Alligator mississippiensis: one gene and its partner. The protein of the gene in region 1 purifies or fractionates together with the protein of each later gene. This does not show direct contact. Links are inferred from orthologs where the notes say so. Each region holds a gene or a part of one and is shown on either strand. Other genes may lie near its edges.

What was found. Proteins that work in one complex are often made in the same cells at the same time.
Region 2: the proteins of KIAA0232 (region 1) and DYRK1A purify together in Homo sapiens (affinity purification with mass spectrometry; 3 studies listed by BioGRID and IntAct, with this or other methods). This does not show direct contact. The link is inferred for Alligator mississippiensis from reciprocal best matches to the Homo sapiens genes KIAA0232 and DYRK1A.

What each region holds. Positions count from the first base shown.
Region 1 is NC_081825.1:26,191,746-26,198,892, forward strand, and holds the start of KIAA0232 (uncharacterized protein KIAA0232 homolog), read right to left. Parts: upstream 3,020-7,147; 5' UTR 2,788-3,019; intron 1-2,787.
Region 2 is NC_081824.1:295,213,515-295,221,462, forward strand, and holds the start of DYRK1A (dual specificity tyrosine-phosphorylation-regulated kinase 1A), read left to right. Parts: upstream 1-4,933; 5' UTR 4,934-5,017; intron 5,018-5,275; exon of another isoform or gene 5,276-5,542; intron 5,543-7,948. UniProt on the Homo sapiens protein: Dual-specificity kinase which possesses both serine/threonine and tyrosine kinase activities. Exhibits a substrate preference for proline at position P+1 and arginine at position P-3.

The DNA.
Region 1 (7,147 bases):
TGCCGCCAGTCACTCATACATTGGGCCGCAGCTCTAACTCACCACCATGGCCCAGCTGCCAGCAACTAGTCTTACTGCCCCGCTCCACCGTCCTGCACTAGGACCCACCTGCTGGGCCATGGAGGCAGCTCCTGCCCATGCTGGTCCAGCCAAGCTGCAGCCCCATGTCTGTACAAATCTGGCAGGGGAATGTCCCACTCCCTCCCCTCCCCCCCACTGCATCACCTGTGTTCCCCCAACTGACGCATCATCTATGCCCCATAGATTTACTTGCGGGGAGCTGCTTTCCATCCTGCCTAGATGCCATATGCATGCGTGCGTACGCACATACACATGGCACCTGCTGTGTCTCACTCCCCCCAGCCCCAAGCAGCCCCTTGCAGGCTGGAATGCTGCTAGCCTGCAAGGGGAAACCCATGCTTTCCTGAGTTTTTCTGTGATTGTTCATGACCCTTTCAAATATTCTTGTGATCCTCTTATGGGTCGTGACCCATGGGTTGAGAAACACTGGCTTAGATGATAGGGTGCCTAACGTTTTCTTTCTGTTCTATTTCTCCACTAAAACCACAGAGCAAATTAGCACAGGATAATGCCATCTAACTCGAAATTACTGCCTGCAGGTTCCTCTTTACTCTGTACCCTTAGAATTTCCCTACTTCAGAGGAAAACGGATACAGCTCACCCCTGAGCAGATTCACAGGAGGTGCAGTGGTGCAGCTGCACCCCACTTTCCATGCTGTAGCTAAGCAGCTCTGGTTCCCCATGGCCCTGACTGCCTCAGTCCGGAGACACAGGAGCAACAATGGGGGCTTGTTTAAGTCCCCAAAGCAGGTAAGAATCCAACCCTCCCTCAGTAGTCCTTCTCTGTGCTCAGCAGGCACCTCCCCTCCTTCCAGCCTGCTCTTGATACAGGACAGTGCAACTCCACTGACATAGGTATAGGGGGAGCCCTAGAGCTACAGAGTAGCTTCACAGAAAGCTGGGCTCAGTGGCAGCAGCCCAAGGTATTCACTCCTACACCAAAAGTAGGCACAGGGAAGGGAAACCCACCTGCTGCCACTGCTGCCCCCAACCAAGCCTGGAATCCCCGTGCAGCCACTGCCTGCAGCTCCCCCTGGAGCAGGGCAGGAGGGGTCAGGACAGCAGTGGGCAGGTCACCCCCTTCCTGTGCCCAGAAACATGAGAGAGGAGAAAAGGGAGAATGGGAAGGGAGGGGACATGTCACTGACTATGTAAGGCAGGCCAGGCCAAGACACCTTGGTTTCTCAACTGCATTAGGGATTTAAAAAAAAAAAAAAAAGAAAGGTCTCTGACTGCGGCTCATGCAGTGAAGGGGGGGTGGGGGAAGAAGGCAGGGCAGCAGGGGGGCAGCTGGTCTCTATCCCCATGCCCCCTTTCAAAATCCTAGATCCATATAAACACTCACCCCACTGAAGCAGCAGGGAGCACAGACTGAAGAGGCAGCAGATGACAAGAGAAGAATAATAGGCTTTAAAACCACCACCTTCTTCCTGATTCTGAACAGCACCCTGCTCAGCAGCACATTGTAGGCCAAAAGGGGCCCAAAGCCCCATCTCCCCCCAATTCCAGATCAACTGATTCGGCAGCTTGAAATCCCTGCTACTGCCACTGCTGCAGGAAGCAAATACATACAGAGGAAATGCTAAAAGTTCAAGGTGTGTTGGGTGTCATCTAAAATAGAAAGGGATACTCTTGGGTTATTTCCTTGCTACTACGACAGTACAAAATAATAACCTATTACTACCAGAAAGCATTCTGAATGACAAAACAGAGTACTTCCAATTGCTTTTCCTGGCCATACAGGATCACGTTGCGATAGTTGCCCTAGTCAATGTCACTGTGAAGCTTTAAAAGGGTAATAAAAAAAAAGAAAGACAAGGGTGGTGGGCACGTGTCCCTGACAGCGCCATCCCCGCTGCCAGCGGCTTCTGCGGGTGCTTGCCGGCCCCGCCGCCAATGCCGGCTTCTGCGGGTGCCCCCCCAGACTCAAGAGGCACCAGTCACCCACGTAGGAAACGATACTAAAATAACCTTTGATAAAACGCAAGAGGGGAGCAGCACTTGATCTGTCATTCCCAGCAAGGCTCACTACAGGCTGTTACAAGAGACGGCTGAAAAGTCAAGGGCCGGGGGATCGACCTCTACCAGGGCGGGGTGACAACCCGGTCCCCTTTCGTTTTCAACTCGGTAAAACTTAGGGCCGAATCGTCGCGACCTACAAGACTAAACAGAGAGTGCCCTTCGCTTGCTGCTGAGTACGGCGGGGTGGGAGGAGGAAAAGCGGAGCCCGCCGGCCCCGGACGAAGCCAAGGGGCCGCGCGCGGGGCGGGGAAGTCATCTCTCCGGCTGGGCTTGGGAGGCGGCGGCAGCGCGGCGCGGGGCCGAGCCGGCAGCACCCGGCGGTGTCACTTCTGCATTCAGCTGTAACCTTCGCCAAACCTTGCCGCCCTCCCCCTCCGCCCAGCGCCGGCGAGAGGCTGCGGCCGCGCAGGGCCCGCCCGGGGGGCGCTCTCACAGGCCGGGCCCCGCGTCAATCTGCCCCCGCCCCGCTCCGCCTCCCGGGGCAGCGGCCTCCCGCAGGCCCCTAAAGGACAATGCTGGGGCCGGGGCCGGGGTTGCGGGGGAAGGTCGCGGCGACGGCCCCGGGGCAGCGGGACGTGCAGGCGCGGCCCAGCGCGCGAGGCCGGCCCTGCCCGGCGCCCCCGGCCCGCGGCGGGACCGCAGCGGCCTCCCCTGACGCAGCGGCGGCGCCTCCCCGGGGTTTACCTGCCGTGGCGGCGGCGGCGGCGGCGCGGAGCGGGGCCCTGGGGCCTGCGGGCGGCGGACTCCGTCCCGCTGCGGCCGTCCCCGAGTGAGCGGGCGGGACGGGCCGGAGCCGGGCCCTGCCCTGGGAGGCGTTACGTAAACCGGCGGCGGCGGCGGCGGCTCCAGCGCCACGGGGGGGAGGGGGGGGAAGGGAGGGAGGGAGGAGGGGGCCGGCCGCGCCGTCACCCGGCAACAGGACTCAGCGCCCCGGCGGACCGCGCCGGCGGCTCCGCCCCGTATCCCTCCGCCCGCAGGCGGCCCGCGTCCGGCCCGGCCCGGCCCGCGGCGCAGGCGCAGTGGGGGGCGCTGCTGTGCTGCCCCTATTCGCTCCCCCCGGCGCGGCGCGGCGCGGCGCTGCGGCGGGCTGGTACAAGAGCAGTGTTGTCCGTGCGCGGGGGGTCCGCCCGCCCACCGCCTCGGAGCCAGCTGCTGCCTCGCCACCACGAAAACCAGGGGTCAAGCAGCTCCTTCTGGCAGGAGACCTGGGGTGCCCTCCCCTTGGGGGTCCTGCACATGAAAGCGGCTTAGAAACCGGTTGTTACACCAGTAGGGGCAAAGTGGGATACTGCCTTAAGCCCCACATTTTGGGGAGCGGGAGGGTGAAGTCTTTGCAAGGAAGTGGCTGTGTTCGCATGTTGACACGCGACTATTTATTTAATTCCCCGAAAGAGTATTACAAAGATCCACGATGTAGCTGTGGTGAGTTAATATTTACCTGAGTACGTACCTGTCAGGGGCCCCAAGTGACTCTCTTGCCCAGGGCTGCAACAACCCGAAGGTTACACATTTTTAGGCACTACTTTTGTAGCTGGTTGACTTTCTTTTTTTTCTTCTTTTTTTTTTTTAAGCAGGGTAGTCATTTTTTAGACCACTGGTTCCCAAACCTTTTGCACCTTATGTCTCACCTACGTACGGTCAACAAATGCTGGTCCGACTGGCTGACAAGGGGGGTGGGGGGAGCTCCCCCAGCAGCCAATCAAAGCGTGCAAAAGTGATACCAGGAGTCCCGCCGTGGCGCTTCTGGTTTCGTCACCACCACCGCAACCCGAGTCCTACCTAGAGGGCCTTAGTGTCCTACCAATGGGACACATCCCACCGGTTGAGAAACCCTGTTTTAGACAATGATTTGGCAGGTGTGGATGGTCTGCACTTACTGTACAATTAGCCAGATAATTGTGTGATAATTGGGGTTTTTTTTTGCGTGTGTGTCTTACTTTGCCCCTGTGGCCTGGTTTAAACTTATTGTGCCACATTCATTAGTGAGTTGGGTCATATAGGTAAAGTGTAGCAGGAGCTGAGGAAAGCTAAAGTGTGAATTTAAATAGGTAGTTGTGCTTATGTAACACACCGATCCCCTTTGGACAGCCTTTGTCTTTCAGAGTCAATGTGACTTTTTCTAACCCAGGCTCAACTTTTTCAACTGGGGGGGGAAGGGTCTTCTTGTCCATTAGGACTAGTAAGGACTGAGTCTCCCATGCAGTGGAGGAATTAGGTTTCTGAAGTAAGGTACCCAAAAACCTGCAGTAATTTTTGTGAGAGTCAAGGATTGACAAGCTATATAGACAAGCTTTTGGGTATAAACTGGCTAGGCTATACTATAGCTGGTCCTAGATGAGTAGTTAGCTCCAGCAGGGCTTCTGCTGTTGCACAGGTATTTAAAGGAAGGTCTATAAAAATTTGAACCTGGTGCCTATAGGATATAATTCTACTCCAGGCTGAGAAGCTTTTCCATTTAGTTACAAATTATGTTGTTGTTTTTATGAACTATGACACAGAGCCAAAAAACCCTCCCCAAATGAAACCAAAACTCCACACGTGATCACTATTTTCTGCTGAGTCATTCCACTAGTTTATTTTAACTCTCCATTTCTGTGTTATAGCAAGTGACAGGTGATGTCAAATTTCTTATTGCGCCTGTCCTCAAGATCTAAACTCATTTCTGTTTCTATTTGTAAACGTTAGTAAAATGTAGGACACTAAGGATTTGTCTGTAAAAAGGTGGCACAAGTTTAACTACATCTATTTAAAAACAGTCTGGTGAAAGTAGTGCATACTTCTAACACAGATACTCATGTGTGAGTCCTAACTCTTGCTTAATTCCCTAATTTACTAACCCTAAAAAAACCAGTGAGGAGCCCAGGAGTGCTTCCAAGCATTCTGGAGAAGAGTCCAGTCAGAGCATCCAAGCAAATCATGCATGATTATATTTTGAATGTGTGTGTAATCTATGAGTGACATCTCAAGCGAGTGGAGCTTGTTTTGTGGCGAGAGCTTGGAAAAATACAAGTGGCTGTTTGTGGGCTGTTTCTCCCCGCTGTGATCCCTGGCTACAACCACAGTTAAAGCCAACCTGGTTTGGGCCTCACTGGAGAACACTGGAGAAACAGCTGGTGTATGACCATATGCCATATTGATGCTCTTGTGAACTCATTGCCAAACTGACCCACTGGCCAATCAAAGCTGCTTTAAGTGTAGCAGAGCAGCTGGTCCCTCTGCATGTGAAACGGTTAGAGCCCTTTCTCAGAAAATGTAGAGCTGGAATGTGTACGCATAGAATGGGGTAGCAGTAGCTCTTAATCACTCCATAGTCATGGTGCGAAATGATGATTCCCCTCCTTCCCCCCAGGTCTGTCTGTCTCTCAAGTCCAGAAGGGAGATGAAGCTCACAGACTTGGGAGGCCATATCAGCTGTAGAGTAGGTTTGTGGGTGAATCCTAAATCAGATGGGTGGGGCTCTTTCAGGTGGTCTATAATTGTCAGGAAGCTCTGGGGAGAGGATTTTGTAATGTATGTCTATCAACTGTGGTGTCTATCAGCTGCATTATGAGTGATCTGCATCAGCTGAAAGTTGGGGCTGTGCAAACATTTGTAAAATGTGGAGGAGCTGAATTAAGTAGGCATGCTTGTGGGGAGGAGAATTATATGATTTGTGGGGAGTGCCAGAATGAATTAGTATTTGATGACAGATGGTCTGTGCTTTTAGCAGAAAGCAGATCTTCAGTGGCAAGCAGAGCTTTGGCAAGTTGCATTTCTGCCCCCTGTTGCAGAGCAAAGAAAAAAAAAGTATATTGATGAACATACATGAAATCAAGCATTTGGAATCAAGTTATTTCTGCTTTTGGAGATGTATCCATGTGAAAACAAGTTGTATGTTGTATGATCATGACTTGTATTTTATTGTAAGCCTCTCACATTACTTCCCAGTATAAGGTGCCTTAAAAAGTCCCATGTATGAGAATCAAAACTTTATTTTCTCTGAATAGGTATCTTAAGCTGTATTACTGAAAGGGCACATCTACATGTCACCCTATGGTGACATAGCAATGCGCTATATGTCGCCGTACAGCATGCTACGGCGATATAGCAATCACACAGGTCTACACGTGATCACCAGCTATAGCAGAGCCCCCACCCGTATAGCGGTGATATCTAACTGTGTCCCATGCACACAGTGAAGTAGCTGCCCATACTGTGCGATGCAAAGGAAGTACTAAAGCATGGTGCTGTAGCAACATCGCCATACAGTGACATGCAGATGCACCCAAGCTCATGATAACCAACTTTAGAATGTCCACTGTTGTTCACACTTCCTACAGCTTCCACATGAAATACTCACAAAAAGCAGTCTATCCATTTGGCACTATAAAAATACAATAAAAAAATCTTCAGAAAATAATTCTAAAGAGCAAAGAAGATTTCCTCATTTTAGAGATTCCAAATCCAACTCTATAAACTAAACAAAGAGAGATTGTAAAAGTCAAAATGTATTTAAAGTTTCAAAGCAACTCCAAAAGAGAGTAATTGTCATAGATGATCACATCCTTTGTATTTTATTGGATATCATGACTAACAGATTTTCAATTATGTAATCATCTTCCTATTGAAACTAGTTTGCATAATTGTATGATAGTTTGCACAACCTCAGTTTACAATTCTTTACAACAGAGGTACTCTAAAATTTGAACAATGTGTCTCCATCTTGCTGTAAGCACCCAGGCAAAAAGTTTACACCTCAAAGTGAAGACTAGAACACAGTAACATTCAGCTGCATTCAAAAGGCCCTCATTCAACCCTTCATAGTAGATCAAGTCTTATGCTCCCTGTCATTGAGCGCACTTTCCTTATAACATCACTACACAATAGAAAAGTAAGCAGTATCCATAGCACTACAATGCCATGCCACCCTGTAATCTTCATCAGGGACTGATAAATTGAAATAAAAGAATCACATTGGCTTCAATAGATTCTGCATCAGAATTTAACTGAGCTTTATTTTATTCAGATTTTGCAACAACCTTATACATAATTAATAGAACTTTAC
Region 2 (7,948 bases), on another chromosome or scaffold:
AAACAGTCACCGACAAAAATTAGTACCAAGCAGTGCAGAAATATGTACTACAGGCAAAGGGAAGGAATGGTTAAAGATAGTATTGCCTCAATTCTGAGAAACTGGAGATTGAAGAGGCGCATTCTGCAGTGGAGAATTTATTTGCTGACCACACCTAAGACATAACTGATAGGAACATTAGATGCCACAAGACAGTGGCCTCAGTGGCCTTGTTTAGTTTGCCTGCTACCTCACTCCTGTTACCATAGCTTTCATGCATGACGAATGTGGAAATGCTTTTGGATTTCAAATATTATCAATGTTATAAATATAAAACCAGTTAGAAAAAAAATAGATTACAGCGGTGGTACATACTGTGATTTTAGGCTTTCTAAAAAAAAATAGTAATCCATTGAAAGGTATCATTGACAGCAGGGGATTAACAATATTCAGTATCTTGTGGGGGTGGTTTCTGTTAGGAGAAGAAAATGAAGATAGAGCCACAGTGATTTAGATGCAATCCTGCTTATTTACAAATAAGGTATGCAACTTCCTGTTTCCTTGAAAACAGTACCTTTTCTCAGGGATGTGTTATAAATTGTTATCTGAATGTTTGTATTTCTTTGCTGCATTATCTTTTTTGCCTCTGATGTTTCTCCTGCCATTGTTTCTTAGTTAACCTTTTTTTCCTTTCCCCACTGTCTCCCCTCCTATTATATCCACCTGTTTCTATGAGGTTTCACTCAACTCCCAGCATAATGTCACTCCTTTCCATGCTTTCTTTTGCTCCCTATTCATAATTTCTTTTTATTCTTTTCTCATTCAGTTCCTTCTCACTTTCTGTGCTGCTTACCTCTTCATAAATGCTCAGACTCCTTTCCCACCCCTCCCAAAATAGTATACAGTTTTGCCTCAAACCCCCAAATTCACTCAGTGGCTCTCACTCACTATCACACAAACACCTTTCTCTCAAATATGGTAAATGCCAAGCCCATGAAAATTCCCTAAAAACTTGTTGGTACATGCAGCCTCTACCCCCACCCCAACCTTGCAAAACTGTTCACACACACACACCCACACACACAGAGAGGCAGGTTCCCCCAAAACTTAGTCCACATGTGACATACTCCATTGGCTTAGCCCACAGAGTTTATATGCATTCTCACTTATTAAAGCAAACAGGCTTCTCTCCTTCCCCAGTTCTTTCATATTATTTCCCCTGGTCATTAGCAATCCCTTTATTTGAGGATCTCTACCACTGCCCACTAATGGGTCTTGAGATGACTTAGGAGTCCAGTCCTTGAGCCATTTATCTGTCCACAGAAGTTACAAGTCCTTCTGTGGGGGAGAACAGGCTGTAGACTAGGATTTCTCTCCTTGTCCTTCCTCCACTTTCTGTTCTCTGGTTTGGGGGTTAGATGCTTTACCTTGAAGATGTCTGCTACTTGGTTAAAGTGGGACTGCTTGGCCTGCTGGCAGCTGCTCCCCCAGCTGCGGGAGACACGGGCAGACTCCACTGGAAAAAAAAAGGATCGGACTCCTTCAGGCACCTGCTGAAAGCAGAAGTGGCCAGGGACCCAATTCTTTTTTTCTGTGGAGCCTGCTCGCCTCTCCTGCAGCAGGTGGGGGGGGGGGGGGGGCAGGGGAGCTGACAGCTGGAACGCAACTACATCTGGATGTAGTTTACTTTACAATGATGCAAACCCCAAAACTGGTGCACATATAATATGTGACACCATTAAGCCACACAAATGACATTTTCGTCATGTGTACAAGCGCCTTAATATATCATTATGGGACAGGGAATATTCTCCCAATATTTACTAGCCTAAGGATATTCAGCGTGAGATTTGCAAAAACCAAAGACTGTTATGTGCCCAATCTGACTTCTGAGGGAACTGGTACTCTGACTCACATAGGAACTAGGGCTTGTCTATGAGAAAGTTATACTGGCTTAACCTAAGGTGTAAACAGAAACCAGTTTGGTTAACTGGGTGCAAACCCAAGCATGTGAACCTTGTTTTGGTTTGAGTTGTTTTTGTCCCCCCTTCCTGTCAGATTGGTGTACTTTGACTTTGTTCCTTATTGATTTCAAATGTCACTCAAACAAAATAATTGTCCATGAAGATAGTTGTACCAGTGCAACCTAATCAGTTTTAAACCTGATTTAAGTTAAAGTGGTACAAATTTCCCCATGCAGACTAGACTTAAGTTTATCAGGTGTGGTGAAGAAAAAAGGCAGTGTTGCAACATCTACAGCAATTTAAAGGAATAAAATAGTTGTGTATTTTATTATATTCTGCATATATTTATGTATATTACCATTCCATTCGATATATTTAGAAATATAACTTATTGCATTTCTCTCACTTCCATTCCATTTTTTCTTTCATCCATTCTGCTTTTTCTCCTTTTTCTTACAGTAGGTCACTAATGGTGGATCATAGTATCATAGTACTTAGGGTTGGAAGGGACCTAAACAGATCATCAGGTCCGACCCCCTGCCCTGGGCAGGAATGGGTGCAGGGATCATATCACCCCAGACAAATATCTGTCCAGCCCACTCTTGAAGACCCCCAAGGTAGGAGAGAGTACCACCTCACTTGGGAGCCCATTCCAGATCCTGGCAGCTCTAACTGTAAAGTAATGTCTCCTGATATCCAGCCTGAACCTTCTCTCTAACAAATTGTGGTCATTATTCCTAGTAACCCCATGTAGTGCCTGGGGGAACAGAGCCTCCCCCAATTCCCACTGATGCCTAGAAGTAGAGGTACAGACATGAACAAGTGTATACATGCGCACATTCCTTTCTCTTTCCTTCCCCACAACTTAATCAGGTTCTCCAAGTGTAAAACTTGGGACTCTTGAAAGCATATCCCACACCAAAACCCTTCTAGGGGTAAGAAAAGGGTTCTTGCTCTTTCTTGGTACCCTCACTTCCTAATGAGAAAATGTGAAACCCTGCAGTAAAAAGCAGAACAAATTCAGTAAGTTCCTAATGTTGACACCTGTTTTCTCCCAGTGACATAGAAAAGAATCATAGAAATCATAGAAAAGTTGGGCTGGCAGCGATGTTCAGGGGTCATCTAGTCCAAACCCCTGCCTAAGGTGGAATCATCTCATGTCAAACCATCCTATACAATCCATAATCTAAACTCTATATAAGACTGCTATCAACCCTGATACAGCAGACCTAACACCCTAACCTGCCACAGGTAAAGCAGGGGAACAATGACAGCCAATGCCCTGCTTCTGTGAATGATGATGTCAATATATGCTCAAGAGATCCTAGGTAGAGGGCCCCTCCCTCCAACAGACAGAGACAAAAACCCCTACAATCTTACCACAGGGTGAAATTCCTTCCTGCCCCCAAATCTGATGACTGGTCTGACCCTAAGCGTAGGGGCAAAACTCTCTAGCCAGGGACCGTTCATCCCAGCAGGAGCACTGGCACACCCCAGTCAATGTTCCCGGCCTTCTTTTTACCTCTCCCCCTGCAGATACTTTCCATCTACCTCTTACCTGCCTGTCTTATACATGGACCTAATCTATGCTATCAAGTCTTGCTGGCAGAACTCCTGCATACACAAGGTTCCCCAGTAGCAGCAGAAACCTCCACTTCTGCTGCATAGATCTTCCCGCACTCTCTGCTGGTGTTGTTCACCTTTTCAACCCATGACTCCTATCCATGCCCATTTCCCCTACCTCTGCTGCTTCCTCTGGTTTCCCCCAGTGAAGGGCCATTGCCACCTGATTTTCGCCAGACTAACACCTTCTTCTCCTCTCACTCTTCCTACACCTCAGACATCTCCTTCATCCAGCCAAGGTTTCTCCATCCTACTTCATCCTCCCAGGCCCAACAACTCTGTGAAAACTCCCCAGCTTAGATGCCTCCTCTTCCCAGTGAGGAAATTTTAGGATCACTAGGAAAAACTTCACAGTCAGGGTGTCCAGATTGTGGAATAAGCTCCCTCCAGAGGTGGTGTGATCACCTACCCTGGAAATCTTCAAGAGGACACTAGACAGTCACCTTGCTGGGGTCACCTGACCCCCAGTTACCTTTCCTGCTTGGGGCAGGACCTGATGATCTTCCAAGATCCCTTCAATTTAAGAAAATCTGCCCTCCCCTGCACCATAGCCCCTGCTCCACCCCACCCAAACGAGGTCATCCCCTTCTCAGCTCAAGGCCCTGTGTGTCCAGAGGCGAGTCCAGGCTCCTCATCCCCAGCATGGCAAGGACCTGCCTACACAAAGAGGCCTTCTGGGGCTACCATGCTGTGGATAACCAGCATGGAGAACACAGCCCTTTGCTCCTCCTGCCGTGTGTGTGAGCATGTGTGACAGTGTGAGAGTGCGTGTGCATGACTATGAGAGCATGTGAGCCTGTGTGACAGCCAGTGTGCATGTAAGCATGTGTTACAGTGAAAGCATGAGAGGGCATGTGTGTGTGGCCACAACAGTTGAGTGTGTGCATGTGCGTGACTGAGAACGTGATTGTGCATGTGACTGTATGGGAAAGCGTGTGACAGTGTGCATGAGTGTGAGTACGTATTTGTGACAGTGTGGGAGTGTATAAGTGTGTGCGCACTGCAGCCCAGCCCACTTCAGCGCCGGTGCGAGCAAGTGCCCGTGCAGCCCGCGCCGCTGGAGGCTGGGCGTGAAAAGGGTCTCCCCTGCCCCCCCCCGCTCCCAGCGGCCTGCAGCACCCGCCCAGCGCCCGCCAAGTTATACCACCACGTGACAGCCGGGCCAAAGGGGGGGGAACTGCGAGGGAACACCAGCAGTTACCAGGGCGACCAAGCCCCGCCTTCACCCCATTCCCTCCCTTCCTACGTCAGCGCGGTCTGCCCTCCCCTCCTAGCATAGACCGAGTCAGGGGCGGGGCCCTGGGCGGTGTGATTGACAGTCTCCATAGCAACAGGCTCGTCCCGTCGCCATTTTGTCAGTTGGCTTTTTTTTTTTTTTTTTCTTTTTTTGAAATCCTTCCCCTTTCCCGCCCGAACCGCCGGTTCCAACACTGGGGGAAAAAAAGGATTCGGTGCGTGACGGGGCGCGCGCATCCCACGCGCGGGGGGGATTGGCTGTGTATGTGTGTGTGTCAGCAGGGAGGTTCGAGGCGGGCGAGTGCGTGGGCCTGGAGGAGCAGCCGGCTCAGCTCGGCTTGGTGGGGGGAGGGGGAGGAGCGCGGCGCGCGCGTGCGGGGAGGGGGGAGCGAGCGAGGAGTTCCCGGGGCTCCGCCCCGCCCCGCCCGCCAACCGCCCCGGCTCGGGAGGGGGAGGGGAAGGGGACACCCCGTAGCCGTTGCCGCCGTTGCTGCCGCCGGCCGCTGCGCAGGTTGGGAGCGCGCGCCATTTTGTGAAGCCATCGACAAATCCGCCCGGTCGGGCAGCGCCGCGGATCCGCCCGCCGGGCCCCGCGCCGCCCCGCCCCGCGGCCGGCCGGCCCGGGCTGCGGGACCGCGGGCAGGCGCTGCAGGGCCCAGGCGGCGCCAAACCCACTCCCGCCGCCGCCGCCTGAGTGACGAGGCCCTGGCCCCGGCCCCGAGCGCCGCCGCCCGCGCACGGTAAGTGCCGCCGGCCGAGGCCCCGCTGCCATCTTAGAGCGGGGAGCTTGGGCACGGCCTGCAGCCGTGCGGAAGAGGAGGGGGCTGCCCGGCCCTGGGCAGCGGCACCGGCACCTGTTGCGGTGGCGGGACCCGGCTCCAGGCCGATGGGCTGTTCGCCCCCGTGAGGACGGGGTTCCCTGGTGAGGCCGGGCACAGCATCGCCCACCTGTTCCCCGCGCCCTCCTCCCGGCCCTGCCCGGCCCGGCCCGGCCCGGTTCCTCCAGCCCCGCAGTCCGCCGTGGGGGGGGTGCTCTGGGCTTCTTATCAACTTGCGAGTTGCCCCTGGATTGTTTGATGAAGGGTGTTGAAGGTTTGGCCCTCCTGCTGTTCCCCAGCCATCAGAGTGCTATGTTTTTATGCTTTTAAGATAAGGAACATAAAAAATTGTCACCCCCAACAAATCAGCAAGCTTCGTGTATTTCTTCACAGCAGCTTCCCCCCCCCCCGCGATAATGTGCTATTATTTATGGCCAGTACTGTATATATTTTTGCAAGAGGGGGCAGTCAGTGTCAAGCGGGGAGCATGCCAAGGTCTTGGAGGAGCAAACTTTGACACACTGTCGCTAAGGTGGCAACTTCTCAGTGGCCTTGCCTGCTTCCCTGAGAATGAGTGCTGGGGAGGACACCTGGGTGATGCCTGATGTCAAAACTGGTGCATTTTGTTTGTGGTCATAGTTAATAACCTTAAACATTAGTGAAAGCTGTTTAACTCATCACAAATGAGAATGGCGTAGCCCTCCTGACACGTTTGGCCAAAACTCCCCCCCCCCCCCCCCCCCCCCCCCCAAAAAAAAAAGATATAATTGAAATAATTATACTGTTCGGGAGTAAAGTTTTGTAAGTAATCCTGCATGTACCCATCTCGCGTTCAAATAGTTACTTGTCGATTGCTATTCTGGATATATTTAGTGAAACACATAAATAAATAGATTACTTTGTAGACTAGTGTCATCAACTCATAAAAATGAAGTATTTAAAGTCAAGGCGTGCGTTCATTTATTTGAAGTTTACATGTGTGATGTGTTAGATTTATGTTTTCATTCCATTTCAGTTTTTTGATACTTCTCTAGCAACAAATGTTCAAGGCTTTATGCAATCTGTGCATGGGTCTTGACAGTTATTTTTAATAAAAAATTGTTCCATGTTTGAAGTTAAATGAGAGCTGTTGCTTTTCTACCCTTCCAAATGAGATGGTTCCCTAATTTAAGTTTTCTAAATGTTTTTTTTTTTTAAATAAAAGTGCTTTGGTATTTGTTTCTAGGTGTCAGAAGTATGGCAGAATTATAGTTACTAAATCAGGGTTTGCATAGGTCTAGACTAGGTTGCCTTGAGATCCTTTAAAGGGTGCCACAGGGTACGATACAATGTTAGCTTAGTTGTGTGCTGGCATGATTCACAAGATAAACCCATAGATTTCAAATAGGAATCCATAACGGTAAAGCTGTTGTGGTCTTTCTGAGTTCTTTGCATCCAAAGACTTGCTACAAAAAAAAAAAAAAGAGTGAAACCTAGGAGTTGGGATTTTCTGAGGGGTGCCCTCAAAAGGTTTAGAACCAGTGGCTCAGGCCTTAACATCTTGGCTTTGCCATTGTGGACAGCTGTAGGGAAAGAGGAGCAAGAGCAGTTTTCTGAAATAGCGAAAAAAAGATTTCTCTGCTTGCTACGTGTGCTCCAAAAGAACTCCAGTTTACAACTGGTATTTCATTTTTGGTGTGAAGGCAGTGATGTAGTAGTGCCTGAGCATGTACCCATTTTTAGAGTGCTGTGGGCTTTATCTATAATAGGGTTTAATATATGAGGTTAATTGATGCATTCTAGCTGTTATTTTAATATCCTATGCAAGGCATATAGGACATGCTACCTTCACTATCTGGATGAAAGTTTTTAAAAGTTAGCCCGTGTTTGCTAACACATTCTGATAGCACACGTTAAAACCTTACTTTAGACAAGGCCTTAGCAAGAAACTTGTGACTGAGTTGAAAACATATACTACTTTTGTCCACAGATGATTCATCTGAGGACAGAAGTAGTGTATGTTTTCAGCCTCATTAGTTTAACAGGGTACTTTTTAATATAGAGGCTAACACATTTGCTTAGCTGTTTCTGTTGCCCACAGCACAACCAGCAAACGTAGGGGCGTATTAAACTTAGCTGAAAAGCATGCCCCTTTTCCTTTATAGCATACATACATTATTCTGAACAGAAATGGGTGGCGCATTCAAAGCTAAAATGTTCAGAAAACCAACTATGCTGCTATAGTTTAGGTAATGTCTTCAGTTTCCCTTCAGAAACTCTTTATTTTGAGGTGTTCATAATGTCATACTGAAAGTTGTGCTACCAGCTTAAGTTTGGAAGCAAGTATGA